Linked DNA regions of Drosophila melanogaster. The gene in region 1 interacts genetically with each later gene. Each region holds a gene or a part of one and is shown on either strand. Other genes may lie near its edges.

Region 1 (7,245 bases):
TTGGCGATGGATTCGACTATATGAAGAAACACAAGAACGAATTTGATGTCATCATCACCGACAGCTCGGATCCCATTGGTCCGGCAGTGAGCCTGTTTCAGGAAAGCTACTACGAGCTAATGAAACACGCGCTGAAGGATGACGGAATCGTGTGCTCCCAGGGCGGTAGCTTCTGGCTGGACCTGGACTACATCAAGAAGACCATGTCCGGCTGCAAGGAGCACTTTGCTAAGGTGGCCTATGCCGTCACCTCCGTTCCGTCCTATCCCTGCGGCCACATTGGCTTCGTCATGGGCTCCCTGAACAAAAACCAGGACTTCGCTACTCCCAAGCTTGGAAAGTCCGAAATCGATTCTATAGACCTAAGGTACTACTCCTCCGAGGTTCACTCCGCCGCCTTTGCCTTGCCTCGATGGGTGCAGAAGCACTTTTACGAATGACCAGGTTGCGGAAAGATTCGTGTGTATCTGTTTGTTAAAAATAAATATGATAATAATATGACTTGTTTATCATCGCTTCTTAAATTCTTGGATATTTTCAACAAATGCTGACTCTTGCAATGATTCATTTTTAGTCGAATTTTTGTAGCCTGAGTATTTTCCTTCCAATCCGACTACCATCTTTCAGTTATTTTACTGTTGAAAATAGAACAAATTGTAATGTTTATTACGTAATGATATATACAGTTGGCTCTATTTAATTTTTGTATTTGTAAGTGGATGCTGGGTTAACATAATGAGACTTATTGCAATATTTTACACGACCGAATGTTACTCTCATTTATATATCGCATATATTGCAAAACTTTGAAAGGAAGCGTTTCTTATATGCAAAAATGACCTTAACTGCATGTGAATAATTAACTAAAAACTGATATTCAATTTCAATAACTTAATAGAAATTAAATCTTCAACCTGTTTAATGACTAATTAAATATTGTTATAGTTAGGAAACGCAATTGATACATAATTACAAAATTAGATGTAAAATATGTACAATCATTTAATATTGGTTTTTATTTTCTCGCCTATTCTAAAGTTAATTATCATTTCTTTTGTGTCGGATAGATTTTGGTGTCTAATGTGCGTGTTTTTATGTGTAATAAATATAATGTATGTGCATTGCGATTTTGGTAGCCGAGCTCCAGTTTTCGAAAAAGTCGAATCATTTTGTGTCCAATTGAGAACTATTTCACATTTTTCGAAATAGATGGATAAACTAATTATTGTGTGTGTACGAATACTCCACTCCTTTGACTGGGTAAATTTGAATAAACCTATAAAAATTCCTAATTCAAGTATAATAATTTTGTCTAAATAAATCAATTTGTAAATGTGTATTCCAAAAAAAGAATCACGAGCAGTTGGAAAAAAATTAATAATAATGGTTTTGAAAACCGGAGCTTGACTGTGTATAATTTGTTATGCGATTGATTTTGTATAGGGAATTTCATGTCTTCGCGATTACATTTGTTATAGCGTGTTTTATATTATCAATATAATAAAATAGGGTAGGGGTTTTTTCTTCATGAATGGCCAACACATAACACATCTATGAATATCGTTCATGTTTGCTTTGCTTTACGTTAAAGGGAGGTACTAATTTGTTAACAATTTCTATATAAGTCAAACCCGAACCGAGTCCGCTGCCTGAAACTTAATGTTTTTCTGTTTAGAGTGCCAGATTATTTCGACGACCATTGACCTTATTGACTAAATTGCAGATTTTTAAGGCTGGTCCTAGCTTCAGGCCCATGTACTTCATCATCATCTCTGAATTTAGCAATAATAAAGCTTTACCATCGATTTCCTACAGACGAAAATTAGATAAGTTACTTTATTTAAGGTAATTGGTAATAGCTACTACTTACGTGCTTTCGGAAGAGATCACCATGAACTGCAAGGGAGTTGTCGTTGCTCTCGATGTACTGGATCACCTCTTCGATGGTCCAGTCGATCGGCTGCGACCGCAGATGTGAGTTTGCCAAAGCAGAAGTGGGCGTGCTCACGGGTGAGGTAATCGCGGTGTAGCTCGGAGAAGCTCCCGCAGTTGCCGCTGCTCCAGCCGGCGCGGTGGCCGCCTTAGCCGCTGTAACTCCACCTGCAGCCAGTGCAGTGGACGAGGCTGACTGGCAGCCCGTGAACGGCGTGGACACGGATGTCGGCAACGAGGCGCTTGACGAGAGCGTCGTCGGACTCTTGTAGTAGCTATTCGAGGGCTTTACATTGGCCTGCTCTGGATGAACTTCTGCCACAAGAGGTGCCAGGTATTTGCCAATTGTGCTGGTGTTCGCCGATCCTCCGGCTAGGCTCGTGCTGGACGACGTTGACGAGCTGCTGCAATGGCTGGTAGATACGTGCGTGGTCTGGCTCGTATCCTGGTTTCCGTTTGTCGCAGAGCTATTCGTATTCGTGTTTGCGTGGTGTTGGAAGCGTACTTTGCGCAGAGCCTGCGTTGTGGAGGAAGTCTGCGCGTTCGCTCCGTTGGGCTCCGATTTGATGACCACCTTGTTGCTGGACTTGCTGGCACTGTTGTTGTTATTGTTGAGACTGTGATTGCTGTTTTGCTGGCTTGCAGGCTCCTTGCCATTGTTCGTCGAAGTTTTCGACTTGGACTCCACTGGCGATTTGACAGCCAATTCCTGCTTGATAATCTTCTCAGAGGGTGATGTCGTTGCCGAGTTGGATTGACGGTTTCGCTTGTCGGCGAGCACTGGCGAGGAAGGCGGTGTGGCTGACTGAGTCAGTTGACGCTTCCGACTATTGGCGCACTTCTTGCACTCCTCCGTCTCGTGGACCAAGGAAATGAGATTCGCACATGCCCGGCATGTAGTGCACAGCGTTTCGATGAATTGGGCGAGGCTTTCGTCATCCTTCATTCGCATTGGCGATGGTATTTTTACCTTTAAGAAACGAAGAGTATATTTTAAACATGCTTTTCATTGAATTTAATTGATCTTGAACTCACTGTGAAATTTTTCCCCGCTGCCGTCACGATATGAACATCTCCTTCCAGGGCAAACAGCAACTTTGAGAGCTGTTGCGTATCCGTGCTGGCAGCTAAAACCTCCTGCAGGCAAAGCTTGGCCAGCGTTTGGTAGGTGGGTCCCGTCACCATGCAGGGCAGTTTGGAATTGTTGATGAACGGACCGCCCTTGCAGTTCGGATGGAAGTGGGCTGTGGCAGGGGAAGCGGGAACCATAGCCTCGGACTCAGCTACAACAGTGTAGCGGGGTCGAGGGCATCGCTGTTTGCTAGAGCTGGAGTCCATGCGCGATTTATGGCCCGGTGGCTGCATGGGATGACAACTTCTAGCGCACCAGCCGGCGGGAAAAATGTCACGCGATCGGTAATTGCACCAGTAGTCGAATGCCCCTCGCCAACCATCGAATGTTACATGGATCTGATCATCCTTGATTGCATCTACTGTTGCACAGCAGATGAGCTGCGGGTTCTTCTTGTCGACAGCCTCGAGTTTCTGGCCCACCTTGAACAGGTTTTCTTCTGGCTCTGGCGGCTCTGGCTGGAAGATCTCTTCTGGCGCCACCATGGCATTGTTGAGGATCTTGCACAGATAGCCGGGCCAGCTGGATGCGTTCATGCGGAATCCCAGAGGCGGCTGCAGCATGCCACCGTTCTTTTCACAGTGTCCAATAGCATGGATCTCCGTAGAATCGACCAGCCGCCAAAAGTCATTCTGGGAGTCACTTCCATCCAGGCGTAGCCGCAGTCTGGAGCCAAGCACTCCGACCACGGTGGCAATGCAGGTGGAAGTGACGTTGCGCGGATCCAAAGCCTCCAGCTTCATTCCGATTTTAAAATCATTGTTGGGAGGATTCTGAGCCTGTTTGAAACATTTTGCAGGAGCAGCTTCGCTACCCGTTTCCTGGAAACCACAAAAAGTATGAGATTGGGGGTTAAAGCATTATCCCAGCTTGACTTACCTCTAGATAGGCATCCCAGTCGAAGACGTGGAAGCTCTCGTATTGAAAGGGCCCCGTTGGTGCGGGCGCTCCACTGGCCAGCAACTTGCGCTCGCTTTCCGCCAGACCCTTGCCCGATGCCGATCCGCCGCTGTGCCTGGTCGAGCAGTTCTTCTTCTGGTGCTTGTTCATGCACATGATCGAGCAGAACTCCTTGTTGGGCGCCCCATCGCGGATGACGTTGTCGCACTGGGTGCACGCCCCCTTGCTGTACGCCTTGCGGAACTCGGCAATGCATGTTTCCGAGCAGAACTCCTTCTTGCCGGTCTGCGTGGGCAGGACGTACTGCAGCGGTAGCTTGCCCTCGCCGCACCAGGTGCATGTGGCTCGTTTGGCCGGTCTACCTCGTTGCCGTTGCGTGGACGCGGGCGATGTTGTACTTCCAGGGGATGCGGATGTGGATGTGGAGGAGGCGGATGCGGATGCGGAGGAGGTGGCATTCGTACTGGCCCCTGGCGCAGCAGAATTGCTCCCGCTACTGGTACTGCTATCACGTCCGCCCGACATGGTTTCTCGCGTGGCTGTCCTAGTAGTCGCACTTGCTGATTCGCGCCGGCAAGCCCCTTGGCATCTCAGGCGATTTCGATTTCGTGTGTTCCGATCCGGCGGTCAAATCGCATTGCGGCTGCCTTGAATCATTAGCCACCAATAGCAAGTTTTGTTTTGCAGCACTAACTTTCCGATTTCTTTCGATTTGGCCTGGCGAAATTTTGCGGCGTTCTTGAGGTCACGTAATAACAAATTGGTGGCCAAATCGCATCGCATCACCCAACGAAAACAAACGCGAGCCGCACAATTAGTTTCTGGTTCACCAAATATCGAGCTTTATATTTAGAGCGCTGCGCGGATCTTGTTACTCGGTTTCAATCCGAAATTAGATGATTTTGAGTCGCTTAAACTCCAAAATGTTAGACTTTTTTTACTTTTACGCTCGGTTCCGCCATATTTGTTTTTCTAGTGGTGACATTCAGATCTTTGCGCATATCGATAGTTGCTTACCTGTGACAGCTCACGAAGCGATGAAAATAATCAACTAATGTGACTAATCGAAAAATGTTATCGAAGCAACTAAATGCAATTTTAAAATAACGTTAAATGGGAAATCACATAACTGACAATAAATAGTCAATTTAAAGAGCAAAGTAGATAATGCTCAATACTTTTACCACAATGTTGTATTTAATTTAACTGCTAATATAAATAAATATTTGTCATTTTTAAAAACGTAAGCCCTTATTATAGAAAAGAAATTTGGATTTCCTGTCAAAAATTGTACAGCGTAATGTAAAAACTATTTAGTCTAGTAAACTGAACCGTTTTGGTTTTGAGAATATAAACTTATAACCGAATTCCTACGTTTTAATATCAGCTCATAGTATTTCCCAGTAAAACTAACAAAACGCTCGTGAATCAAATTTGCACAGCATCAAGTGGGCGTAAATTGGTGAATAATATAAAAAGTCTGTAAATTTGAAAGCGCACGGCACACATCAGCCGAAAATCAAAAAAAAAAAAATGGGTTAGTCAACAAAACTAATATCTACCAATTTATAGAACGCTCTGGTATGTAAACATTTCCATTGAACTGGGAGAAATTCGCAATAAAGCGGTTCAGATAGTGGAAAATGGGTTGAACAAGGGAAAGTTTTGATATTTTAATAAAATCATGTATAACATAGGAAAGCGGTTTTCGTAATTACCAAAACCATGAAACAATCAATACTGAAATACAAAAATATGTTACTATCAAAATAATGGCTTATACGATTGGCCTAAGGCTTTATTAGGTCAAGCAAATTAATATTACTTGCTTACCTTTCGTTAATTTTATTTGCTGAAGAGCGTCGCAAATGTCAAGAAGTCTAGCAAATTACTAGAAATTACATAAGTGTGTTTCGTTTGCAGTAAATTCAGTAAGTCGAAAGCGGCTCAAAGATGAAACAAGTTGGAAAAACTTTTCTGGGATTAGCCGAAATGTATATTGGTCAAACTTTTTGGCTAACTTCTGCTGCTGTTTGATTTTTGTTCGCTTTGCCTAAATGGTCCGTAACTTGATTTAATTGATGTGCTTCAAAGAATAATCCGCTCACTTAGTCGCGTTTCAAAGATAACCAACTGGAAGCCAAATATTGCGGTCGAAAAACTTGATAACACTGTTAATTGAATGTTTTGAAGGCGGCGTGATGTCCCTCTTTAATAATCAATAAAGACATTCCTAATTATTAATGATTAAACTTGACCGAAACCAAGTTCCCTGACACTCACACAATCGTCAAATCGCGCATAATTGGATGGGACCATCGGCTGCCCATAACAAGGATAATTGGATGAAATGAGGCGGCTGCCTTTTCTGCTCCTCATTAAATGCCCGTTTACCGTTTAGTCGCCTGTCAAATCCTTGATGGGCTATTAGAAAAAGGGGTGTCCAGAGACGAGTTCTTGAGTCATTGACTTGTTACGCAAATTGGACAAAAGAAATTTCTGGCTCCGAGTGGGCACTGGAGTGGGGATTGAACTTAATAAGCATATTCATTAATGGGTGTACAGAACCAAGTACAAGGTTGCATCTTACACCCTTATGGATATCCTTTCCTTCTTGAATCCCTAAGCAAAAGTAATCAGGCAAGTAGCTAGACTTTACTAGTTGCTCTATTAAAAATTAAAAGTAAATTAAAATTGCCTCGCACTACCAAAACAGCATTACAGCTCGCATAAAAGCACGTATAAATTGGCGGGAGTGGCATTTTGACGGAATTCAATCAGCCATAAAGCATCCTGCTGGGCAGGAAATGGAGGCGTTTGCCTACGTGCTTAATTACAAGCCGACGCATGCACATTCTGCATACATAAAAGGCGAAGACACGTGTTCCAAGCAATTAAAAAGTATGTCAAAGTGGGTGATCAACGCGCCCAAGGACGCAGGACAATTGCGAATGCTGGCAACACTGTTGCTTTTTTTGAGTGATGCGTGGGCTAGCCAAACTAGTTGATGTAGATGGCATGAAAAGTTTGGGGGGTCCCAAATTATAAATTGCTTATCTGGCTGTGTGTACAATGTGGATAGCAATGTGATATAAATGGTAATTGAATTCGTTTTCAAGGTAATCAGCAGTAATGATTGCTGCTTTTCTTAGCCTAAATAGAAAGGATATCGGCCTCTGTTAGCCTTCGCATATCCCAATAAAAATTGATTGGTCCAAAATAAGACGAAACACCCAGCAGGCAGAGCACCTCCTGCGTGGAATCCATCTCCTGGCCAGGGA
Region 2 (8,463 bases), on another chromosome or scaffold:
TTAGTGATTCTTCTGGGATTCTCATGTGAATGTTGTGTGAGCAGGTGGTGCTGCTCCGTCTTAGCTTACAGCGAAAAAAAATAAATACTTTAATAATAACGATCCTTGGTGCACATAGTAATTAAATTCACTTCAAAACTGTCTCCTTAAAAAAAAACTTAGAGATGCCAACAAATGGTTCTAGATGTAGTATGTAAACGATAACAACTTCAATGGAGCTGGAATCAGGTGCCGTGCAGATGTGAGAGTATCGACTCGATGTCCTCGAACTCCACGATGTGGTTCTCGCTCTGCAGCTCCTTCTGCTGCGCAGAGTTCTCCGGTGTCTCCTCGCCGCCAATTCCGCTGCTGCTGTTCGCTGCTATCGGAGCTGAATTGCTGCATGAATTAAAGAACGGTATTATTATTATGATAAGCATACAAAAAATAAAATGCATATGTTCACCACTTACATGGTGGCCACCTCCAGATCTTCCTCATCTTGCGGCCCACTCCTGGATGGGGGCTTCTCCACCAGCGGCGTAGACGTGGCCGAAGGCTGTTCGCCAGCAGCAGCAACTTCCGCTCCCGTTCCACTTCCTCCACTTACACTTGCACTTCCCCCTGTTGCCGCTGTCCCGCCACTATTGCCGGTCAGGCGGCGTATCCGCTTCTTGGGTATATTGCGAATGGCGCTGGCCACCGGTTGGCCCAGACAGAGCACCTGGGCACTGGCTATGCGCAGCGTATGCAGCTGTTCGTCATCGGTCATCAAGCGCATCTGATAGCTTTTGAAATAGCTCGATGGCTGACGTATCATCGGATTGCTGGACTTTGGTCCGTTGTCCGCATATGTGAAATTATAGGTAAAACGCTCCTGGCTGCTGCTCAGGCACATGTCCTGCTCGAAGTCGCTGTCATCGGGCTCCGAATCGCATTTCGATGGCGGTGGATCCTGTTTAGGTTCTTGTATTGTTTGCTGAATTTGCGGCTTTTGCTTTGGAGATTTTTGGGTGGATTCCGCCTCCGCTACAATGGGCAGTGCCGGAGCATCGGTTGTGGAGGAGGGTACCCTTGCCTCGACACGTTTCTTGGCCGGTTTCTTGGTATTTGCCTTGATTTGGGTCTTCGTCTTTGCTCCTTCAGTGGATTTGGAGAGATCTTCCGGAGCAGGAGCTAGTTTTGCAAAGACAATATATTAGTTTCAATACCCATTCGATTGGATCTTAACTACTTACTTTTATTTTCGACTAGGCGCGAGGATCGTCGCATACAGAGATTGGCTGGCTCCCCGTTCTGTACCTTTTTCGGGCGTCCACGTTTTCCAGGGGCAGGCTGTGCCGCAATTTCAACCGCTGCTCGATTTACCTTTGGTTTGATTACAATCGGTAATGATTCCTGTTTTTTCGCAGATAGATTGAGGGCCATGAGCAGAGCGGGATCCAATTTGCCGGCTGGCGGATCTGCTGGCGCATCTGTGGCGGCACCGACTGGCGGACCAGTAGCCTCTGTGGACTTAACATTCGGATTTGGTTCTATTTGCTTTTTAGCTGCTTTTGTTTTCAGTGGTTCGATGTGCTTTCGATTTTTTGGCGATTTTTGACTGCTTGGATTGGCCAGTTTGGCATTTTCACGCATTGCAGTGAGCTTCTTGTTGGCAGTCTTTCTCCCTTGACCTTTGATCGGTTGGGGTTGCTCCTTAAACTTGGCCACTACACGTTGGCGTTTTTCATTCAGCTGCTGGCGTTGGTGTTCCTGACGGCTTGTAGAGGCCGTTGGAAGAGCGACGGATGAAGGATCGTCCGCCTCTGGCGGAGGCGGTGGAGGCGGCGGAGGAGCAGCTGGCGGTGTTAGAGGAAGCGGCGGAGGCGGAACAGGAGCAGCCACCGGTTTAGGAGGTGTAGGTTTTGTTTGCTGTTCTCCACTGGTATCCGTCTCCTGGGCCTGCTCTTTGCTTGGTGTCAGCCAATTCCGGATAGGATAGCGGACCTCCCCGTCCTGGCTAACTAACTGACCTGGCTGACTGTCGATAGCAAGCATGGGCAGAACTGCATCCTCAGAACCGGCTGCCTTCAGCCACTCTTCGTCTTCCGTGCTGCTAATGTTCGATAAGTTATCTATGTTTAGTAGCATCTCCTTTTTCTTGCTGCACTTTTCGTCGGCATTCTCGCCATTTGCCTCTTCCCCTCTGCTTTCCCCCTTTCCGCTGTGAGAACTTGACGAGGATGAGGAACTCGATGATGAACTACTGGAGGAGCTTGAGCTCGAACTGGATGAGGACGATGAACTGGTTGCCGAGGAGCTAGAATTACTAGATCCTTCAATAATTGCCTCGGGCAGGCCAGGCAAAAGTTTATAGTGCGGAAGCTGCTGCTGATCGGAGGGAAATGAGCCAGCTGTAGCGGACTCCGCACTGTCCACCGCCTCACTGCCAAAGGATCGAACGCGTCGAAGGACGGTGGGCTCCAAGGACAGGACAACGGGTTGCTTCACAGCATCTGGTGTCTTTTCTAAAACCGTTTCATTCTTTTCACCATCGTTTTCAGTTTCCTTCAGATGTTCATCCATTGGCTTCTCTGGTCTTTTCGGTGTTTTCTTATTGTCCTCAGCATGTTTGTCCTCCGGATGAAGGCTTTTCTTTGAACACTCCATTTCTATTAGCTCTTGATTCTTCTGTTGCGAAAGCTCATCCTCTGCCTCAACCTTTTTCTTCTTGGGCGTTGACCGAACCTTGGGTTGTTTCTTATCCTGCGGATCACCCCACTGTTGTATTGCGCACTGCGCATTCGCATCGGTGTGTTCCGCTTCATCCGGACGATAATAGGAACTGCCTGAAGAGTACTCAGTCTTGGCAGCACTGCCTATCGGAGTACCGGGCATCTGTCCAAAAGGTGTCAAGCGAAATCCAGGTGTGATGGCACTCAACTGGGGCGTATCCATAATACTTTTGGTATCCGAACCAAAGAGAAAGCTGCTACTGGGCAACTTGCCATATGGCGTGTCCAGAGGTGGAATGGCCATTCCTGGCGTGGGTGGGATGATAGCGGCTACACCAACACCAGCTTCCTTTGATGTGGTGTCATCTTCTACGGCTCCGCTTGCTCCTGCTCCAATGGGAGATGCTTTAAACGGAGTGTCCAGAAGCATGGCCATGTTGGGTCGCGACAGTTCTGCCGCTAAGGCCTTCGCTTGCTCCTGATCCTTTGCATATATGCATCCTTGTTCACTTTTCTTCTTCTGATCCTTTTCCTCGATCTCCGCTTGGGTTTCGTCTATGGTTTCTTCTATGGTTTCGTCTATGATTTCTTCTTTTGCCTCAAACACCTTCTTTTTCTTCAGGAGCTTTGGTTTCTGAGGAGTGATAATCTTGATGTTGATCTTCTCAGTGGAATCCCCAACACTGCGCTGCGGTTTCTTTGCCAGATTCATGGGCTCCGCCTTCGCTTTGACCATTGGAGCCTTTCGTGCTCTCGACGAAGCTGAAGTGGGTGTATCTTTCTTCTTTGGACGCCTCGAGCGGCCGGAGGCCTTTACCTCCTCGCGCTTGGAGTTAATCTCACGCAGCCGATTTTCAAGGTCAGAATTGGAGCCATGCAACTGGCGCTGCCAGGCGGCCATATCGTTATCTACAACTGCGTCTCCTCTGGCGGCGGAGCCTACATCTGGCTTTCCTTCAATCTTCTGCTGCTCCTGGAGATTCTCTTTGCTGGCCTCGGCGCTGTCATCGTGAGCGGTCGACGATGCGCTGCAGGCAGAGTTATTTTTGGGCATAATTTTCTTTTGATCCTTATCCGTCTTGGTTTCCGATTCCGCCTGGGAGATGATTCGCTTGCAGGCCTTGACCGCTGCTTGTCGCTTCTGTTTTCTTTTGGGCGTGGCCACCAACGGAGGAACCGGAGCTGCTGACGGAGCGGCAGCTGGAGGATGGGCCCTGATCACCGTCTGATTGCTGCACTCCTCCATGGCGAAGAGTGGTGGCACTCCTCCAAGGCCCTCGTTTGAGCTCAGGTCGCAGGCGGCCTGGATGATCTCCACATGGTTGATAATTGGCTTCTCTTGGGCTTTGGCCAGCAAACCAGGTCGCCTAGTGGACAGCGGCGTATTGGAATGCAGGACGCCACCAGGAGGAACCTTAGGGGAAAAAGTTAATGTTCGTACATGCGAAGTTCTCTTTCGGGGAGTGGATAAGCTACGAAAGGCCTTTACGTTAATTATTCCCGACGTCGAGGGTGTCACTCTCTCCATGACTTGTCTAGATGAATCCAGGGATGCGGGTGGAAACTTTCGCTGCTCCTCCTCTAGTTGATCTATCGGTTGCTCTTTTGCCGCCGTTCCCTGGCCCGCCTTGTTGTCCACTTTGGCTGCATCTTTTATCAACTGGACTGGAGGCTCCACGCTTGGGGGAGGTGGTTGTTTCTGGGCGCTGCTAATGATAATGGAATTGGGGGGCAGCTGATTGGCAGACAGAGTAATCGGCTCCGGCAGCGATATCTCAATGTGCGAGTCATCAATGTTGGCAAAGGCATCCGGCCCAAGTTGCTGGGCTACCCACTCGTTGTTCACCAGGAATGGAAGATGCGACAGCAGTCCACCGTTCGAGAGGTACATGGGAAACGTCAGCTGCCCGGTGGTGGCGTCCACACAAACCTGACCAGCAGCTGTCGCCTCCACCTCGCTGAGCATTGACGCTGGATCGGCAAAATTTATATTGAGGCCTTCGCTTGTAAAGCTGATATTGGACGTATCCAAACCAGCAACCATTTTTTGGACACTCTCGTTGGAGTTCAGTACGATAAGCTTGGAGATGGAGAAATTGGGATCTGCATTGGTTCCTGCGGTGGCTGCAACGGCGGTGCGAATAATAAGCGGTGTTTGCGGCGGCACGGGATCCACGGCCTGTTCTGTCGGCAGCACATCTCCATCAGCAGCGGGAACAATAGCAGCCCCAGCAGCATCAGAGGCAGGCGACACACCAGGGTCCTCCTCATTTGCCAATGGTTCATCCCCGATCACCACCTCCTGTATGATGCGATCGAACGAGGGATCCTTCTCGGTGGCCTCCAGTATGTTCTTCACTAGACCATCCAACATGGCGTCACAGCTTACCGACGGATTGTTAACAGTCACCGTCTGCAGCGCTACGTTAATATTCTTTACCAGCGTCTCCTGGAAGTCCTGATTCTTAATTATCGCGCAGGCCAGTTCCTGAAATCAATGTAAATCGAAAGAGTGTTTTTTGTTTAGAATACATAATAGATGCACTATTGGTTAATTAAGCAGATATGCATTAAGCATGTCTATGGACTTACAGGCATGCTTTGCGGCGTGAGCAGAAGTGGATTGGACTCGGTATGACCTTGGCGCGGCGTGGAATTGTTGCGCGGACCAGGACCATTCGCCGGAAGTAAGTCATCCTCCTCCAAGTCCTCGGTGGCCGTTGTGCTCTCGCCATCCTCTTCGTCCAGTTCCGCCTCGCAGTCATCCTGGCTGCCTAGGAAACTCTGCCTGACCTTGTCGCGGTTAACGCTGCAGTAGAAGTGTGGCGGCAGCAGACGCGGTCGCTTGCTAAACGAAGGCGAAGAAATGCTGTTCACGGGAGAATGGGTGCGCCTGGGGAAAAGGGGTAAGAGAGCAATGAGAATTCCGATGTGCTTGTGTCAAGGAAAAATCTATAATTACAAGCGCCTTCTCTTGCGATGCGACTGTGATATGGTGGGCTCGCCTGGGGTGCTGCTTTCATTGGTACAGCTACTCCTCTCGCCGGCGGCTATCAGTTCGCTGACCCGTTCGGACAGCTTCATCTGCTGCAGCTGCATACGCATATCCAGCGGCAGCTTCTGCACGGCACCGGCCACTGAAAAGAGAGATTTTCGGTCAGCCGCAAAAAAAAAGAAACGCAAGGAGCGTGCTAATTTACCCAAGCTTGTGATCTTGACATGCTCGCAGATTATCTCCTCCAGACCCCCGTGAAGGAAGTTGTGCGTCTGCAGGCCCTGTTTAAGGGCCAGGAACTCGTGGCGCAGGTGAGGCGATGTGCGACACAGAGTGTGTGCGGCCCTTTTTAGATTCTGGTTGACTAGGTAGCCTACAAAATGGAAGAGCATAAATATTGCGAGCTAGAAAAGCGTCCAGGGAAAACCTACCCAGGACCAAGCGAGCCACGTCCGAATGCAGGACAATCGACTCCATGGCTGGACTTTCCGACTCAGCTAAGCGTCACCATCCACTCGCTTTTCGCCTTGCCTTTCTTTTTTTTTTCGCTTGCAAGACTTTAGGTTTATCGAACGCACTTGTAATGCCTTATTATTGACTGTTGCAGGTTTAATCACTCAATAGTTAGTCGGAATTGAATCAGCGCTTTAATTCGAGAGAGAATAAACCATTTTCTCGCCTATTCGCCGACTATTTTCGTTTTGTTGTTGCCGATTCTAGCGGCGCACTGTACAACACACATAGGTTAGCATAGCATCTGTGTTTTTTTTGCCGCCCGCCAAAACAACGCAGTAGGGTTGCCACAGCGCCGAACTATCGATATAGTCCCGTTGTTTGCGCTTGGCTGCCAAGCCTTATTAGGAGCGTGGGAAATAATGGTAATAATTAAAGCAAAGAAATACGTCTCTTTCGCTTAAAACAAATTATAGCAGTTTTTATTGCTTTGATGGTCTTGCTTCAATTCGTTTTTATGTGTACGTTACAGTACTTAGAATCCGATATTCGTTAAACTATCGATATGGGAATGCTGCAAATACCTGGCATCCCAGCAATTCATAACTAGACGGCGTTGCCAAATAGATCAGAACGCAAAAACCAAGTGCAATATTTTATTCGAGTGACTTAGATTACTGGTTAACTGGCACTCAATGGCTGCCAAGAGTATCGAGAAGGAGAAGGGCGAGGGTCAGGAGCCCGCGACATCAGCGGAGAAACCCGATCCAGCCGCACCCACTGAACCAGCTGAGGAAAATTCCAAAGAACCGGCGCCGGAAGACGCATCGCCGGATAAAAAGGATGGTGGACGCAAAAGGAAGAGGCATTTGTTCAATTCGATTCGCGGTCAAATGGAATTCTACTTCGGTGACGCCAACTTGAGCAAGGATCGCTTCCTTCGGCGCTACGTAGAGCAGGATCCATGTGAGTAGCTAAGGTTGGCTCACCAGCCAACATAACACTGATCATGTTATTCTTTTACAGATGTACCATTGGAAATCTTTCTCACTTTCAATAAGATAAAGACGCTCACCCAGGATGTGCAGCAGATAGCCAAGGCACTAAGCAACTCCCAGCTTCTGGAGCTGGATGAGACCGAACTAAAGGTCAAGCGACGTACCAAGCTACCAGATCAGCGCGATGTCAACGACAAAACCTTGTATGTAGAGGCCCTGCCTGCAAATGCCACTCACGATTGGCTGAAGGAGGTATTCAGCCGCTACGGACCGGTGGCCTACGTGTCCCTGCCCCACTATCCGGGCACTAAGAAGATCAAGGAATTTGCCTTTATCGAGTTCGAAAAGAGCGGGTCCTTGGAGAAAGCTGTGAAGGCTTTTGCCCAGATACAGGGCGTTTTGTCCGTAGAAACCGATCCCAGTGATCTGGCCAGTGTGCGCTCCTTTCAGCAGCAGCAGCAGATACAACAGAAAGCGGAGCAGCCGCAGTCAGAGGCTGAACAGGTTGAGTTGCCAAAGCGAAATCTAAAAAGGGAGGCCACCGACAAGGATCGCGAGGAGATACACGAGGTGAAACGGGTTAAGTTGGAGGAGGGCCAGCCTAGCGAGACCTCTACAGCTGGGGAAACAGCGAGTGAAACGGATGCAGAGGGCACAGCCGAAGCCTCCGAGCAGGAGGACAAAACAGAGGCAACCGATGGCGATGAAGCTGCCAAAAAGCGCCGTCGCAAGCGCAAGAAGAAGGCGATCGTGGACAAGCCAAACATTGAGCCCAGTGCCCTGGAGCTCAAGGTGCTACCCAAGACTAGTTGGAGCAGTATGCGCAATAAGTACTTGAATCTACAGCGTCGCATCGTCAGTGAGGCAAAGAGCAAGCTGTGGCGAGAAAATCACCCACAAAATCAGCAGCACCCTCACCACCAGCAGACCAGTCATCCAAACCATCCGAAACCTTCACAGCTGCCCGAGGCAGTTAAAGAGGAGGAAACCGGAGGCGAGGTCCCTAGCGATGGCGGTGAAGGTGCCGTAGAAGCAGCGCCTGTGCCAGCCAAGCGTCGCAAGGCGGTGCACAAGATGAACATGAATTTCTACGGCGCCGGCGGCGTGGAATCCACCAAATCCGAAGAACCTTCGCAGGAACGCACGCCGCTCTTTAAATACGAGCCCGGGCTGATTGTGGAGTGCTCCCTGCTAAAACCATGCACCAATGTTAAAGAATTTAAGGCTGAAATGCGCCAATATCCGGATATTAAATATGTGGATATTAAGGAGGGCGACCAAGTGGCCCTACTACGTTTGGGCACGCCTGCCGCAGCCGAGG
Region 3 (8,605 bases), on another chromosome or scaffold:
TACATACAAATATTTATTACTAATTTCTATTGAGACGAAATGAACCACTCGGAACCATTTGAGCGAACCGAATCGCGCGGAACTAACGACAGTCGCTCCAAGGTCGTCGAACAAAAGGTGAATGTGTTGCGGAGAGCGGGTGGGAGACAGCGAAAGAGCAACTACGAAACGTGGTGTGGTGGAGGTGAATTATGAAGAGGGCGCGCGATTTGAAAAGTTTGTATATAAAAAATATATCCCGGTGTTTTATGTAGCGATAAACGAGTTTTTGATGTAAGGTATGCAGGTGTGTAAGTCTTTTGGTTAGAAGACAAATCCAAAGTCTACTTGTGGGGATGTTCGAAGGGGAAATACTTGTATTCTATAGGTCATATCTTGTTTTTATTGGCACAAATATAATTACATTAGCTTTTTGAGGGGGCAATAAACAGTAAACACGATGGTAATAATGGTAAAAAAAAAAACAAGCAGTTATTTCGGATATATGTCGGCTACTCCTTGCGTCGGGCCCGAAGTCTTAGAGCCAGATATGCGAGCACCCGGAAGCTCACGATGAGAATGGCCAGACCCACGTAGTCCAGCGGCAGATCGGCGGCGGAGAAGTTAAGCGTCTCCAGGATGACCTTGCCCGAACTGGGGCACGTGGTGTTCGACGATGTGCAGCTAATTTCGCCCGGCTCCACGTCCGCCCATTGGTTAATCAGCAGACCCTCGTTGGCGTAACGGAACCATGAGAGGTACGACAACCATTTGAGGTATACTGGCACCGAGCCCGAGTTCAAGAAGAAGCCGCCAAAGAGCAGGAATGGTATGATAACCGGCGGACCCACAGACAGCGCCATCGAGGTCGAGGAGCTGGCGCAGGATATTAGATATCCGAAGGACGTTGACACATTGGCCACCAGAGTGACCAGCGCCAGGCAGTTGAAGAAGTGCAGCACTCCGGCCCGCAGTCCGATCATCGGATAGGCAATCGCCGTGAAGACCAGTGGCACTGTGAGAAAAAGCGGCAATTCGGCAATCGTTTTGCCCAGAAAGTATGTGTCACAGCGATAAAGTCGACTTCGGGCCTCCCTCATAAAAACTGGCAGCTCTGAGGTGAACACCTAAATCGAATCGATTCATTAGAAAGTTAGTAAATTATTGAAATGCAAATGTATTCTAAACATGACTTACATTTATCGTGGCAAAGACGTTTTGAAAGGTCATGTTGGTCAGGAAGAGGAAGATGGCTCCGTTGATATTCATCACACCCACTTGCGTGAGTTGTTGGCCCAAAAAGATGAGGCCAATCAAGATGGCAACCATCTGCAAATTAAAATGTTACTCGCATCTCATTAATATTCGCGAGTTAAATGAAATTTATTTATCTTCTGCAAAACTATAAACTATACATCTCATTGAAAAAAACTAAGAAGGGTGTGGAATCAGGCAATTCTATCTAAAATCTAGCGAATTTGTTTCCAAGAATTGTAAGCGTTATATCATTTGTTTCCACTGGAACCACTCACCGTTGTCTGAATAAGTCGCACTTTTACGAGGAGTGGTTCCTTGAGCACCGACAGCCAGGATCGCCACAGGACCGCCCGGAACTGCATGAACCAGGTGGCCTTGTAGGTGTACCCATTCTCCGGCTGCTCCAGTGGCTTCTCCAGATTTTTGGTGGCCAACAACTGCTCCATATCCCGGGCTACTTTGCTAATGGCAAAATTGTCGCATATCTTGGCGATCCGATCACGGGACTCGATCTCCCGTCCGGGCACAACGGCCAACACCTGTACGTAAAAGTCCGCCGGATTGTAGTTGGTAGGACACTGGGCACCCACGCTGGATAGGAGTTGAGATGTTATGTAATACTAGATACCCTTAATAAACACATCGAACTCACTAGGAAAAGAAGTCGACGGCTTCGCTGGGAGTGCCCAAGAAAGCTACCCTGCCCTCGGCCATCAGAAGGATCTTGTCAAAGAGCTCAAACAGCTCGGAAGACGGCTGATGAATGGTCAGGATGACGGTCTTGCCCTTCTGCGACAGCTTCTTCAGCACCTGGACGACGCTGTGGGCGGTAAAGGAGTCCAGTCCGGAGGTGGGCTCATCGCAGATCAGAAGCGGCGGATCGGTTAGAGCCTCGGAGGCGAATGCCAGACGCTTCCTTTCTCCGCCGGACAGACCTTTCACCCTGCCGGGCACACCGATGATCGTGTGCTGACATTTGCTGAGCGAAAGCTCCTGGATCACCTGATCCACGCGGGCCACTCGCTGCCGATAGGTCAGATGTCGTGGCATCCGCACCATGGCTTGGAAAATCAGGTGTTCCCTGGCCGTTAGGGAGCCGATAAAGAGGTCATCCTGCTGGACATAGGCGCACCTGGCCTGCATCTCCTTGGCGTCCACAGGTTGGCCATTGAGCAGTCGCATCCCGGATGGCGATACTTGGATGCCCTGCGGCGATCGAAAGGCAAGGGCATTCAGCAGGGTCGTCTTTCCGGCACCGGAACTGCCCATCACGGCCAAAAGTTCGCCCGGATAGGCCACGCCGCAAACTGAGTTTCAAATTGGTAATTGGACCCTTTATTAAGATTTCACACAGATCAGCCGACTGCGAATAGAAACTCACCGTTCTTGAGCAAATGTTTCCTGGGCGCCGGTATGTGTCGCTCGTTGCAGAATAGTCCGCGTGTCCGGTTGACCAGCTGCCGCCATCCGGAGCCCGGCTGATTGACCGCCCCAAAGATGTCCATATTGTGCCAGGCATAGGTGAGGTTCTCGGCTAGTTGGCCGCTCCCTGAACCGGAGTCCTCCGGCGGACTGGGTGGCCGGAGCGTGCCGTAGTTTTTGGCCTGCCCGAAGCCCTGGTTAATGCAGCTCTGCGAAGCCGCTCCGCTGTCACCCTGCAATGATAGGGGATCTCAAATATCAACTACAAGCGTTATGCTCATCTAACCCCGAACAAAAAGTACCCCGAAGTATCCTACGAAGTAGGTTTATACTTTTATTTATTTTTTGTGCATCTAGAAAAGGTTTCAAGCTGAAAACTTTTCAATTTCACGGCGTTCGTCCATAAAAATGAAGGCGTCTGTGCATAAATCTAGCCCAGCCTGGCCAATCCCTGCTCCGCCGTCCCTGTTTCCGGGCACTAACCCCCCCCCCCCCCCTCGGCTTTATAAAGAAGGAGCCCATCTGTTTAATAAAAATGCCCAAGATCCGAGTTTTCCAAGTTTCCCAAAAAGGAGATGGCGAGGCCTATTTAAAATGTGCAAATTAGGGCTGGCACTTGGTGGATGGCCTTGAAAGTGGGCGGTGGACGGTTGACGGGGTCACAGGTCGTTGGGCGATGGACGATGGGGCGATGGGACGATGGGTGGTGGCAGTGGCAAGGTTCCTCCACCATGTTGCCACCTCATAAGACAATTGCGAGTGTAAATCGCTGGCATCTTTGGCTTTCGTTTGGGGACTTTGAGCTTCGCCAGTTTTGTTTTTATTAAATATAAAACTTTAAGGATACTTTGGCTTTTTTTGGGTGGTGGGAAAACTCAATCTCTTGTAGATAAGTGCAATGAGCAGTATAAAGCAGTCCATTTACTTGATCCAATTATGTTGAACGCAATAGTGTTCAAACTACTACTTCTGCAATTGAGTTTAAGTTTATAAATCCGAAATACAAATTCTTATTTACGTTATTTTGTTTACGGGTAAAGTGATTTCCAAAACCACTGAGCTGTCAGTTTTCGCCCAGGTGGGGCTTCCCTTTTCGAAATGGCGGTAACCGAAGACGTTTGCGGTATGGTCAAATCAAGCCATCCTCCCCGCCCCAACTTTTCGCCCCATACCACTTCCGTTCGCGCATATTTTCATTTTCATAAACAATTTTCCGTTTTCCATTTGTGGGGTTTCTTGCCATCGCAGCGGCCTGCGGCAAAGCATAAATAACAGGGATCCACTAATTGGCGTCGAGGCAAAAAAAAAAAAAAATGGAAAAAACAAGACAAAATGATGGCCACAATATGGAAAGCATTTTATCCGCCGCTGCTCTCATAATAATTTGTATAAATAATCATAAAAAAAATTAAGCAAAAAAATGCAAGCAAATGAGAAAGGCAAAATCCGAAGAAGAGGGCCAAATAAAAAGCTGACATTCAATAAAAGCAAGAAAAAATAATGTCCACCTTGCACTCAGCGCCTGGCGGTCCTTGCTACAGTGAGCCCTGCTAAGAACTTTCATTTTTTGAACTATTTAAAATTAAATTTATTTTTCAAAACGATTGGGGGATTTGGATTTATCGTTTACATTGCTACATATAAAATCTAGCTAAAAGACCAAAGCCTGAAAACTGTTGCATTTCCTCCTTAGCGAGGCTTCACTGCTCATCTTCTGCTGCGATGCTTTGACAGCTTATTCTTCTAGCCACTCAGTGTCCAGTTTTTGGCCTGTTACCAAAAAAAAAGCACAATTGGTGACGTTACGAGAGGTAGACGCGAAAAAATGTAATATCCGTTTTCAGGCACTCCTCGAGCAGAGCGAGATGGCCATATGGCTGGGAAAGAGATAGAGGGACATGGCGAAATTGTTTTCACAACAAATGAGGCCGAAAAATGTTATTAAAAAGTTTTCTTTTCTTTTCTGTTTTCGCCGTCCCTTTCCCACTGGGTTTTCTTATCTCCCTGCCTCCTCTGGTTTACTCTCCCACCTTTTCCCTATTTTCGTATTTTGTTGAAATAAGTAGCGAAAGATGCTACATTTCATATTTATTTAATTTTTTGGCTTACTTTTTTTTTTATTTACTTTGCGTGCTATTTTTGAATTACTTACGAAATACGAAGGAAACTCGAGGAGTGGGCGCTAGATGGCGCTGTGCAGGGAGGCGAAGGAGTATCGTGATGAACTTGACAAATTGAAATGACTGAATAAAGAAGCGACTCAATTTGTTGTTCCTCCCGTTTTGTCGATTGTGCGAGTGGCTAATGAGTGCACTCAAAAGTCATTCACTTTGATGAGAACGAAATACTGAAGGAGGCGCAATTATTCAGCGGAAAAGCTGACGACCACTCGATATTATTAAGGAAATATCAGAGCGTAAACGGCCCAATATGTACATATATGCAACGAACATATAATTAAAGATGGCTTCAAATATTCCATACATATCATATTTTTCAATACTTTGTTACCTTTACTGCGTTACTTACTTCCCAAAAGAATTAAAGTTCTTATCTCCTTGTATAACTTTTTGAGACTTTTCAAAATTGTTTCAAAGAGCCCGGGGCTAGATATGCAAATCGTACTCACTTATTTATTTTGTTATACAAGCCGAGGTGCTAAGAATTTAAAGCAAGATACGCACGAAGATACCTAGATATCAGATGCTGAGCCCAAAGCATTCGTCTAGCCAAATAATGACCCAGATAAGACTAGATTGTACATTTTTCGTCGAGCGAGACGTGCAAACAACGAGGTATTAAGATCAGGTAGAAGATGCGAGTACACAACCAGAAATGGATACGGATACAGTATCTAGTATCTTGGCAAGCCTAGAGTTATAGACACCCAGCAATGTTGTTGGCCAACTTAAGCCGACTCCTCCCACGCCACCACTGGTTATGCGTCCCTAATTACGATCTACTACATCCAACTATTTGGGGTCGATGTATAATGTAGTGTAGTGTAGTGTAGTGTAGCAAGAAAATATTTGAGAATGAAAGGTGGAAGAAATGAGGACTTCATGGTAAGCTTAAAATATCTGGTTGTTATATTTTTTGTAAAAAAGAATATAGTCGAAAATGAATGCCTTTAGATGTCTTGATCATGATATGATCTCAAAAATTGTCTTATATAGCGAGAACAGCTACCAGAATAATCTGTTTCGTGTCACTATTTGTTTGTGCAATTGCGGTTTGGGATTTTTGTGGGTCGCAGTTCTCACGCCGCAGACAATTTGATGTTGCAATCGCAGTTCCTATAGATCAAGTGAACTTAAGATGTATGCACATGTACTACTCACATTGTTCAGATGCTCGGCAGATGGGTGTTTGCTGCCTCCGCGAATTAATAGCTCCTGATCCTCTTGGCCCATTGCCGGGATTTTTCACACTTTCCCCTGCTTACCCACCCAAAACCAATCACCACCCCAATCACTCAAAAAACAAACAAAAATAAGAAGCGAGAGGAGTTTTGGCACAGCACTTTGTGTTTAATTGATGGCGTAAACCGCTTGGAGCTTCGTCACGAAACCGCTGACAAAATGCAACTGAAGGCGGACATTGACGCTACGTAACGCTACAAACGGTGGCGAAAGAGATAGCGGACGCAGCGGCGAAAGAGACGGCGATATTTCTGTGGACAGAGAAGGAGGCAAACAGCGCTGACTTTGAGTGGAATGTCATTTTGAGTGAGAGGTAATCGAAAGAACCTGGTACATCAAATACCCTTGGATCGAAGTAAATTTAAAACTGATCAGATAAGTTCAATGATATCCAGTGCAGTAAAAAAAAAAAATGTTTTTTTTATCTACTTTCCGCAAAAATGGGTTTTATTAACTTACATACATACTAGTGACAACATGTTTATGTTTAGCTAATGTGTTCCGTTCAAAATAATTAAAAATTCGACCACCTTTGCACCAATATGATAGTACCCCACCTGGGCAGTACTCATAAGCTGAGTGGCTGTCTTTGAATACTGATTAGGTTGAGTGGGAAGCGTCTTCTTATCGTGAATAAGAGAGTTCTTGTTAATCCGCCTGTTGTCGTCCCGTTTCGGGGGTTTGCACTGTACTTTGCATGCATGATTTATCAAACGGCGACTGTTGATGATGCGCATTCCGCACTCCCCGTTTCCCGTACGCCTATCCGCACCCGTACTTCGGACACTCCGGTCGTTGTCGTCATCGTTAGCACCTCATCTCAGGCCCCGGAATCATGAACTGCCGCCATCAGCTGTCCGGGCATTATCAATCTTCATCATCGGGGCCAGTTGGTCCAGGATATGGATCTCGACTGGGACGGGTTTTCCGGGAGGCTATCAATACCATTTTCACGGACGATGTGGTAACAGGTTAGCAGTTGCAGTTGCCGAGGAATCTGCAGGAATTAATTTGCTGACGACGATTAAGTGGTCTTCAAATGAATATGGTTTTCTTTTGAGAGTTTAGCTCAGAATAATAGCTTTTGATTCGATTTGCAAGTTAATTATGCATATGCATGTGATATTTGTAGAAGTCTCACTCAGCACTAGTAACATTATTTCATGTGCCAGTTTTAATGCATATATGTTCTGCTCTACAACAGCTTCAAAGTTCGAAATAAATGATTTTCCTATTTCACTGAAGATCTTTAGCTGACTCAAAGTTAGATGTATGTACGATTCGTAAGAGACTTCCTTTGTGGGCCGATCTAGCGACAGACAACAAAGAAACGTCAATGTTTCACTCATTTTTGCCAACTAACCGAGTTTTTCGCTCAGTGACACTTATGGGGCTTCTTCGATGTTGGTTGAGTGGAGCTCGAATCGGGTTTAGACCGTCTTGAAGTTCGTGTTCGTGTGTGTTTGCCATTACTAACTCACTCAAATGCTGTAAACTTTTTGCACTTAACAATTTATTGTCACTCGCCTGTCGCAGCAGCGAAAGAGCTGAAAAATGGCATTACAACAAAAAGTGCTTAAAACCGATTATGAAATGCTCTAAGGGAATGCTGTAATTAATTAGTTTGCCGTTTTTATGCGCTCTAAATCAATAATAAAGTTAATTGCATACGTATAAGTATGCAGTTCATTTTTTTTAGAGTGGCCTTAACTTGATTTTTGCTTATTAGCCCTGCAATTGAACATTTTTTTTTGCCCTACCTTTGGGATTCTTTAAATTGGTTTGCTATTCCACAATGCAATGCAATAACACCGTATTGAAAAGCGAAAAGGAAGTAACTTGAACTGAGGCGTAGAAAGTTTTTTTCAACACACACTTTTATACTCTCTCCGCACAGTCACACCTACATACATATGTATATATATATATATATATATATATATCGGCAAAGGTAAGTCCCCAGCCATTGTCACAGGAAGTGCGGTCTGGTGGGGGGTTGGGGGGGTTGGTCTGGGTTGACTTAACCCCCAGATTTTCTTGCCTCTGTACGTTTAACCCATGCAAATTATTGACGCGGACAGCGGGCTCAATAAATCTGTGTATGTGTTTGTGTGTGTGTGAGTGGAGAAACTTTTGCTAGCTGCACGCTAATCAGACAGCTTTCTAGTTCATTGCTTTGGTCCCCCTTTCTAAGGGCCACGCCCCCCCTCCCCTCATACCAACCTCAGCCGGCGCCCACTTTCATCTAAGGCACTCAGTTGGCTGTAATTGCAAAGTAAATCAGCGCTGCCATTTGCCATGCCCCGAAAAGTACGATCCATGGAAAAAGTGGCAAAAGTGGTAAATGGTCGGTGGTGGTGGTGGGGGGGTGGGGTACTGGAGTTTTCCGGGGGCCAAGGATAATGTGAGAGGGCTGCTGCCAAAGTTTGGGCAACTTTTAAAGAGAGGAATGTGTTATGGGTTCGGGTCACATAGTTAGTTAGTCGCACAACTTCAAACCAAATGACGTCGAAGCCATGGAGTTA
Region 4 (5,880 bases), on another chromosome or scaffold:
AAATAACCGGAAGTTTTCGTTAAGCTGTGTCTCTCTTTTGTTACTTTCTCTTTGCGATTTTGACACTTGGCATTGCTTCTCCCAATATAACTGTAACTGGCTAGCTTTTATCGCCTCTCATAGTTTTGACGTTTTCTCTGAGCTTTCTCTCATCGGCATTTCCGAGTTTTCTCTTTATGACTTTGACATTTACCGTTGTCCGTCGCTCCCGTCCGGTTGTGTGGCACGTTTTTCTGAATGAATCCGCTATTCGGGGCTTTCGCCTGGAGATGGGGTGGTTTGCCGTTGCTATTATTATTTCCTATATGCTATAAGCTTAATATTTTCGCCAGCCTTATCAGTTGGCCAGTTTTCCTAATCGCTATTCGTTAGTTTTTCGCTCCGTACAATTGAACTAGGTATTGGTTTTTCCCCTTTTTTGTTCGGTTGTTTGGTTGCTTGGTGTTTTGTTTGAAGCCACTAATTAAATATCATCTATGTAAATTGTAACTAGCTAAACATATTGACTAATATTTTATAGGTTATGCGCTAATTGGTGCTGTTTTCACTATGAATTAAACATTAATCTATTTATAGGGTTCGCAACAATTTGCTTGGTGTTTTTCTTTATGTTTTGGTTAAAGCTTTTGGTTAATTTCTCGTTTTCGTCGTTAAGTGTGAAGATTCTCCATGCGTTTCGCGTCCCTCGTCGAAAATATTGCGATTGATTTCAAGGGAATGGGTGTTATTTCAGTTGTTGGTCTTGGTGTTGTTGTTATTTCACTATCACAGCATAAATAAAATAATGTCATCGTCGTTGCCGCCCCCGCCACGCGAACCCTCGGCCAACATACAACTGGCATAAAATATCTGCAGTCGGCCACTTCCTTTCACATCCATCCTGAGCTTTCGGCGCTCTTGTGCTTTCTCACACTCTCTCCCGCACTTTCTCTCCCTCTTGAGGATGTGGCATTTGAAGAGTTCGAAGAGGGTAACTAGTTCAGTTGTAATCAAGTTAATTATCAAACTTAATTGAATAGGAATATGGGGCGAAGTATATGTGGCAATTTGTGATACAATAAGTGAAGCAGGACAAAGGAAAATCAAAACTCAATATGGGATGAAAGCAACACAACGATAAACGTTAACGAAAGTATAATATTTCGTTACCTGGAATTCAATTCAACATGCAGTTTAAAAAGAATACTGTACAAAGGATTCATTAAAAATGCGCTTATTAAAATTTGATTAAAAGCTATTTTATATTTAAGCTAATTGGTTTAACTTCTCGCCGGTTTAGTAATTTGTAGAAACGATAAAAGAAAATAGTGTATAAGGCAACAGCGCCAAAAAAATGTTTTCTAAAACATTTATATACCCCATTTATAAATAATAGAAAAATGTCAAGAAATTCTGAAAATATTTTAACAAAACATTTACATTTTAAAAACGCACAATTAGGTGTGTCTAGTCATCAAAGTTTTGAGTCTTTGCTAATTTTGCCAGGAAAGGGTGTGCGACACGGCTACTTGCTAAGATATGATCCCAGTTCTTTGTAGCACGGTAACTCTGCACCTCGCAGCACTATCGATTGTTTACATGAAAATAATCGAGTCGGACGACTATCGACGTACGCAGAATTGTAAACCAGAAGTTAATTGCAAATAAAACGAATAATAAAACGTTCCGAGAAGATTATTAATTAAAAATGACTGGTCGAGGCAAGGGGAGTAAGGGGAAGTTGGGGCGCGACAATGCGACCGACGATCCAGTCGATCTAGTGTACGCGGCTGAGAAAATCATCCAAAAGCGCGTTAAGAAGGTGAGATGAGCGTAAACAAATTCGAAAAAGGCGACCAAAACGGGATGCTCCGCTAAAAATGGCAAATGCAATATGCGCAGCACACGCAGGATATATGTATAGTCCACAAGGTCACATGTCCTTCGACATTTTTTGGCCAGAGGACATCTGCTGCTGCAACCACCATTTGCACGATGCATGTGTGTGTGCGTAGTGCGTTCGTATGTGTGTGTGTGTGTATGTGAGGCGTGTTTTTGTTTCGCTGAATGGAAAATCAATTAGTTGTCTAAGAAAATGCAATCCACCCCCACTCCTTCACTTACTCGATTTTCCAGGGCGTCGTGGAGTACCGTGTCAAGTGGAAGGGCTGGAACCAGCGCTACAACACCTGGGAACCGGAGGTAAACATCCTGGATCGCCGCCTCATCGACATCTACGAACAAACGAACAAATCCTCCGGAACTCCCTCCAAGCGAGGCATTAAGAAGAAGGAGAAAGAACCCGATCCGGAGCCGGAATCCGAGGAGGATGAGTACACCTTCACCGAAAACGATGTGGACACGCATCAAGCCACCACCTCATCGGCTACCCACGATAAGGAGTCGAAGAAGGAGAAGAAGCACCATCACCACCACCACCATCATCACCACATCAAGTCCGAACGCAACAGTGGACGGCGCTCGGAATCTCCGCTGACCCACCATCATCATCACCACCACCACGAGTCCAAGCGTCAGCGCATTGATCACAGCTCCTCCTCGAACAGCAGCTTCACGCACAACTCATTTGTCCCCGAGCCGGACAGCAACTCCTCCAGCTCCGAGGATCAGCCGCTGATCGGCACCAAACGCAAAGCCGAGGTGCTCAAGGAATCGGGCAAGATTGGAGTTACGATTAAGACCTCCCCAGATGGCCCCACTATTAAGCCTCAGCCGACCCAGCAGGTAACTCCCAGCCAGCAGCAGCCCTTCCAGGATCAGCAGCAAGCGGAAAAGATTGCCAGCGAGGCTGCAACGCAGCTGAAATCTGAGCAGCAGGCCACCCCACTGGCCACAGAAGCCATAAACACAACGCCCGCAGAGTCCGGAGCTGAGGAAGAAGAAGTAGCCAACGAGGAAGGCAACCAACAGGCGCCACAGGTTCCTTCCGAGAACAATAACATACCAAAACCGTGCAACAACCTGGCTATCAACCAGAAACAGCCGCTTACTCCTCTTTCGCCGCGTGCCCTTCCGCCGCGCTTCTGGCTGCCGGCCAAATGCAACATATCCAACCGGGTGGTGATCACAGACGTCACCGTAAACCTGGAGACCGTTACCATACGCGAGTGCAAGACGGAGCGCGGGTTTTTTCGTGAGCGCGACATGAAAGGCGATTCGTCGCCAGTAGCTTGAGCTTCGACCCAAACAAATGTCGGGAAAACAAACCGGAAAACTGATACAATTGTAAATAGACAAACCAAAATGCGAGAAAGTTGAGAGAAGAATTATGCAGAGAAATCCACACTAAATGTTGCTAAGCATTTTCTCTTTAGGACTTAACTAATTTATTGTATTTATTTTTAGCGTAGGTTTTAGTTTGTTGTTTTATTACAATGTTTAATGTGCAAGAGTAGTTTAAGCAAGCGCAAGTCGGGTATTTACTAAATGACTTTATATATACATAAATTTTCGCTCATTTTTTTTATCAGCATTGCAATGATTGAATATTTTCCTATTTAAATTAAAAATTTATTTTTCTGCAATATCACTTTTTAAGATTAATCTGGTTGTCATTTAGTGAATAGGCGAAATGCTGCGGCTGCTTAACTTGCCAATGCAATAGATTGTAAAACTTGCAGCGTAGATAAATATGTATGTACATGTTACATATATTTACCACATATTGTATATTTTTTATAACACTTTGAATCTGATTGAAAACAACACAAGACACTCAAATGCTAAGAAAACTCCATGCGAAACCGAAGCAATTGTTGATTACGCTTACAAATATATACAATAGAAGATGCATATATTCGAGTAGTCACCACCACGTTTGCCGAGTTGGCTATCCCAATGTTGTAATTGTTTAATATTATATTTCCTCGCGCCGACTGATTTTACAAAAGAAAACCCCAAAAACATATATACAATTGTAGATTTACAAATATTTTTAGACTTTAGCTAACCAAAATCTCTACGTAATATTTATTTTAACATGTTCTCTTAGCAGTCATTCAAGACTCAAGTGCTGCCTTTATGGGTTCAGAGCGGTGCAGTGCACAGATAATTCCAAATCGAGCCCATAGACTCATTACTTAAATCCTATGTCTATTTCACAATTTTTTTTCACGCTATGAAACAGAAAACTACGTGGGAGCTGCGGGGAATTTACAAACTCCTGCTTATTTCCCATGGGTCCTGTGCGTATGTTTCTATTTGTCTTAGCTCTTTATTGGCTAGTTTTAGTTACGGCGTAAATTCCACACAAAACAGCAATTCAAAGCGTATATTTTAAGCTTTTTAATATAGTTGTAAAGTCCCAAATGAGAAGACTTTACTCGTTGAGTTTTTGTAAGAAACTGATTTTATTTGGAATTATCTTCGGTTTAAATAGGTGACATGAGAATCGCATCTTAAAGTAAATGGCCTACGCAGAGGCCTAAGTAAATAGTCCCCGCCTTATCGAGGTCCCACGCTCGGGCACATCTGCCTATCTTGAGCGGCGAGGACCTTATCTGTGGTCTCCCACTAAGGGACTATTTTAGGAGGCGGGGAACGATCTCAAGTGACTGACTCATGTAGTGTGCACTTAAATTACATGTTTTTGAGCAATGCACCCATGTCGCCTTAGATAACAAAATCCTAAATATAATTTATCGCTCTCGATTCATTTACATAAGATATGAACGGAGCCCAAAATTGTAAGTCTTTAAATATATTCGTGTTCATGTGTGAACATTCTGCCAAAGGGCCAGCAAGCTGAGATGTACATTAGTATATTAGTTGCATTTATAACAGTAGTGGACTGTATTTATTTGATATATGTTCATTTATTTTGCAACTAAGATTTCAATGGGCCTAGTTTTTCTGGCTTTTAATTTTATTGGATTACAATTATGGTTTATATTATTTTTAATTCAACAATTTGTACTCAATTAACTTATTTTAAACATTTTGCTTTTTCTATGTAGAAGTACATTTTCTATTAGTGGACTGTATATTTTTATTTGTTATATTATTTTATTGTTTATTTACTATTGATATTTATAGTACTGGCAACGGACCTGCAAAGGTTATTGCTTGCATTCTTTGTTGCACAGCACATTTCCGTATGAAATATATTATTAATACTATCATTAGTATTAAAGCAATAATTAATCCAGCATGTCCGGAAATATGATGGAAATGTAAATCTTTCAATTTTTGATGGTTCTCTTTCATAAATTTAATTTCATTATTCAATCGTTCAAATTCCTCAGTATGATTTAATATTGATAGTTTCAGCGGATCCCAAATAATCTTCGGCACTCCACTAACTTCTCCTATATAAGGTGTTGATAATAATTCTTCACTTTCGGACTGAATGTTATGGTGGGCAACTAGAATTTTATCGTCGGTTCTTGCCGTACAATATGGCGCAATGCTTAAAACTCCTTGCTGAGGCAAATCAAACAATTCAATTTGAGAGCCAGTACATTGCAGACGGACTTTTGAATTCGCAGGAACCTTAAACAACCAACTACTTTTCTTTTCTAACTCTACCCAGTAACTTTTAGAGTCGACTACTGTTTTATAGATGCAGTTCGCCGCTTTATCTGGCTTTAGAGGCTGAATCTCACATGCATTATCATTCGCTGAATTCCAGGGCCAACTTCCTTTGCATATTCTCTTATTTAGTTGCCATTTCTGACATTGATTTAATGTGGCTTCCGTCATTATGTGATAGGAATCTATCTCAAAATTATAAATTAAATATTCGGACGTTGTATGCACCATTATTATCCGATCTTCATTTCGAATTGGCACCGGAATAAGCCTGAACAATTTGGATGGATGCTGCTAAACAGAGGCACTTTTGCACTAATGATCAATTTATCGTCGATGAATAAACCCCTG

Evidence for each region.
Region 2: of Scm (region 1) and mxc, changing one enhances a phenotype caused by changing the other (phenotypic enhancement), as found in Drosophila melanogaster (2 studies listed by BioGRID).
Region 3: of Scm (region 1) and w, changing one suppresses a phenotype caused by changing the other (phenotypic suppression), as found in Drosophila melanogaster (4 studies listed by BioGRID).
Region 4: of Scm (region 1) and Pc, changing one enhances a phenotype caused by changing the other (phenotypic enhancement), as found in Drosophila melanogaster (2 studies listed by BioGRID).

What each region holds. Positions count from the first base shown.
Region 1 is NT_033777.3:9,632,667-9,639,911, forward strand, and holds Scm (Sex comb on midleg), read right to left. Parts: upstream 4,946-7,245; 5' UTR 4,490-4,945; coding exon 3,944-4,489; intron 3,886-3,943; coding exon 2,968-3,885; intron 2,903-2,967; coding exon 1,871-2,902; intron 1,810-1,870; coding exon 1,672-1,809; 3' UTR 693-1,671; downstream 1-692. Other genes in the region: SpdS (spermidine synthase), read left to right, coding at 1-440. UniProt on the Drosophila melanogaster protein: Polycomb group (PcG) protein. PcG proteins act by forming multiprotein complexes, which are required to maintain the transcriptionally repressive state of homeotic genes throughout development.
Region 2 is NC_004354.4:9,237,037-9,245,499, forward strand, and holds the start of mxc (multi sex combs), read right to left. Parts: upstream 6,432-8,463; 5' UTR 6,169-6,431; coding exon 6,123-6,168; intron 6,065-6,122; coding exon 5,897-6,064; intron 5,834-5,896; coding exon 5,659-5,833; intron 5,590-5,658; coding exon 5,289-5,589; intron 5,185-5,288; coding exon 1,218-5,184; intron 1,156-1,217; coding exon 453-1,155; intron 379-452; coding exon 225-378; 3' UTR 1-224. Other genes in the region: Larp7 (La related protein 7), read left to right, coding at 6,840-7,110, 7,171-8,463.
Region 3 is NC_004354.4:2,790,238-2,798,842, forward strand, and holds w (white), read right to left. Parts: upstream 6,230-8,605; 5' UTR 6,072-6,229; coding exon 6,000-6,071; intron 2,892-5,999; coding exon 2,618-2,891; intron 2,544-2,617; coding exon 1,889-2,543; intron 1,828-1,888; coding exon 1,512-1,827; intron 1,309-1,511; coding exon 1,177-1,308; intron 1,107-1,176; coding exon 492-1,106; 3' UTR 362-491; downstream 1-361. UniProt on the Drosophila melanogaster protein: ATP-dependent transporter of the ATP-binding cassette (ABC) family which transports various molecules including bioamines, neurotransmitters, metabolic intermediates and second messengers.
Region 4 is NT_037436.4:21,313,718-21,319,597, reverse strand, and holds the start of Pc (polycomb), read left to right. Parts: upstream 1-1,577; 5' UTR 1,578-1,687; coding exon 1,688-1,801; intron 1,802-2,115; coding exon 2,116-3,174; 3' UTR 3,175-4,292; intron 4,293-5,880.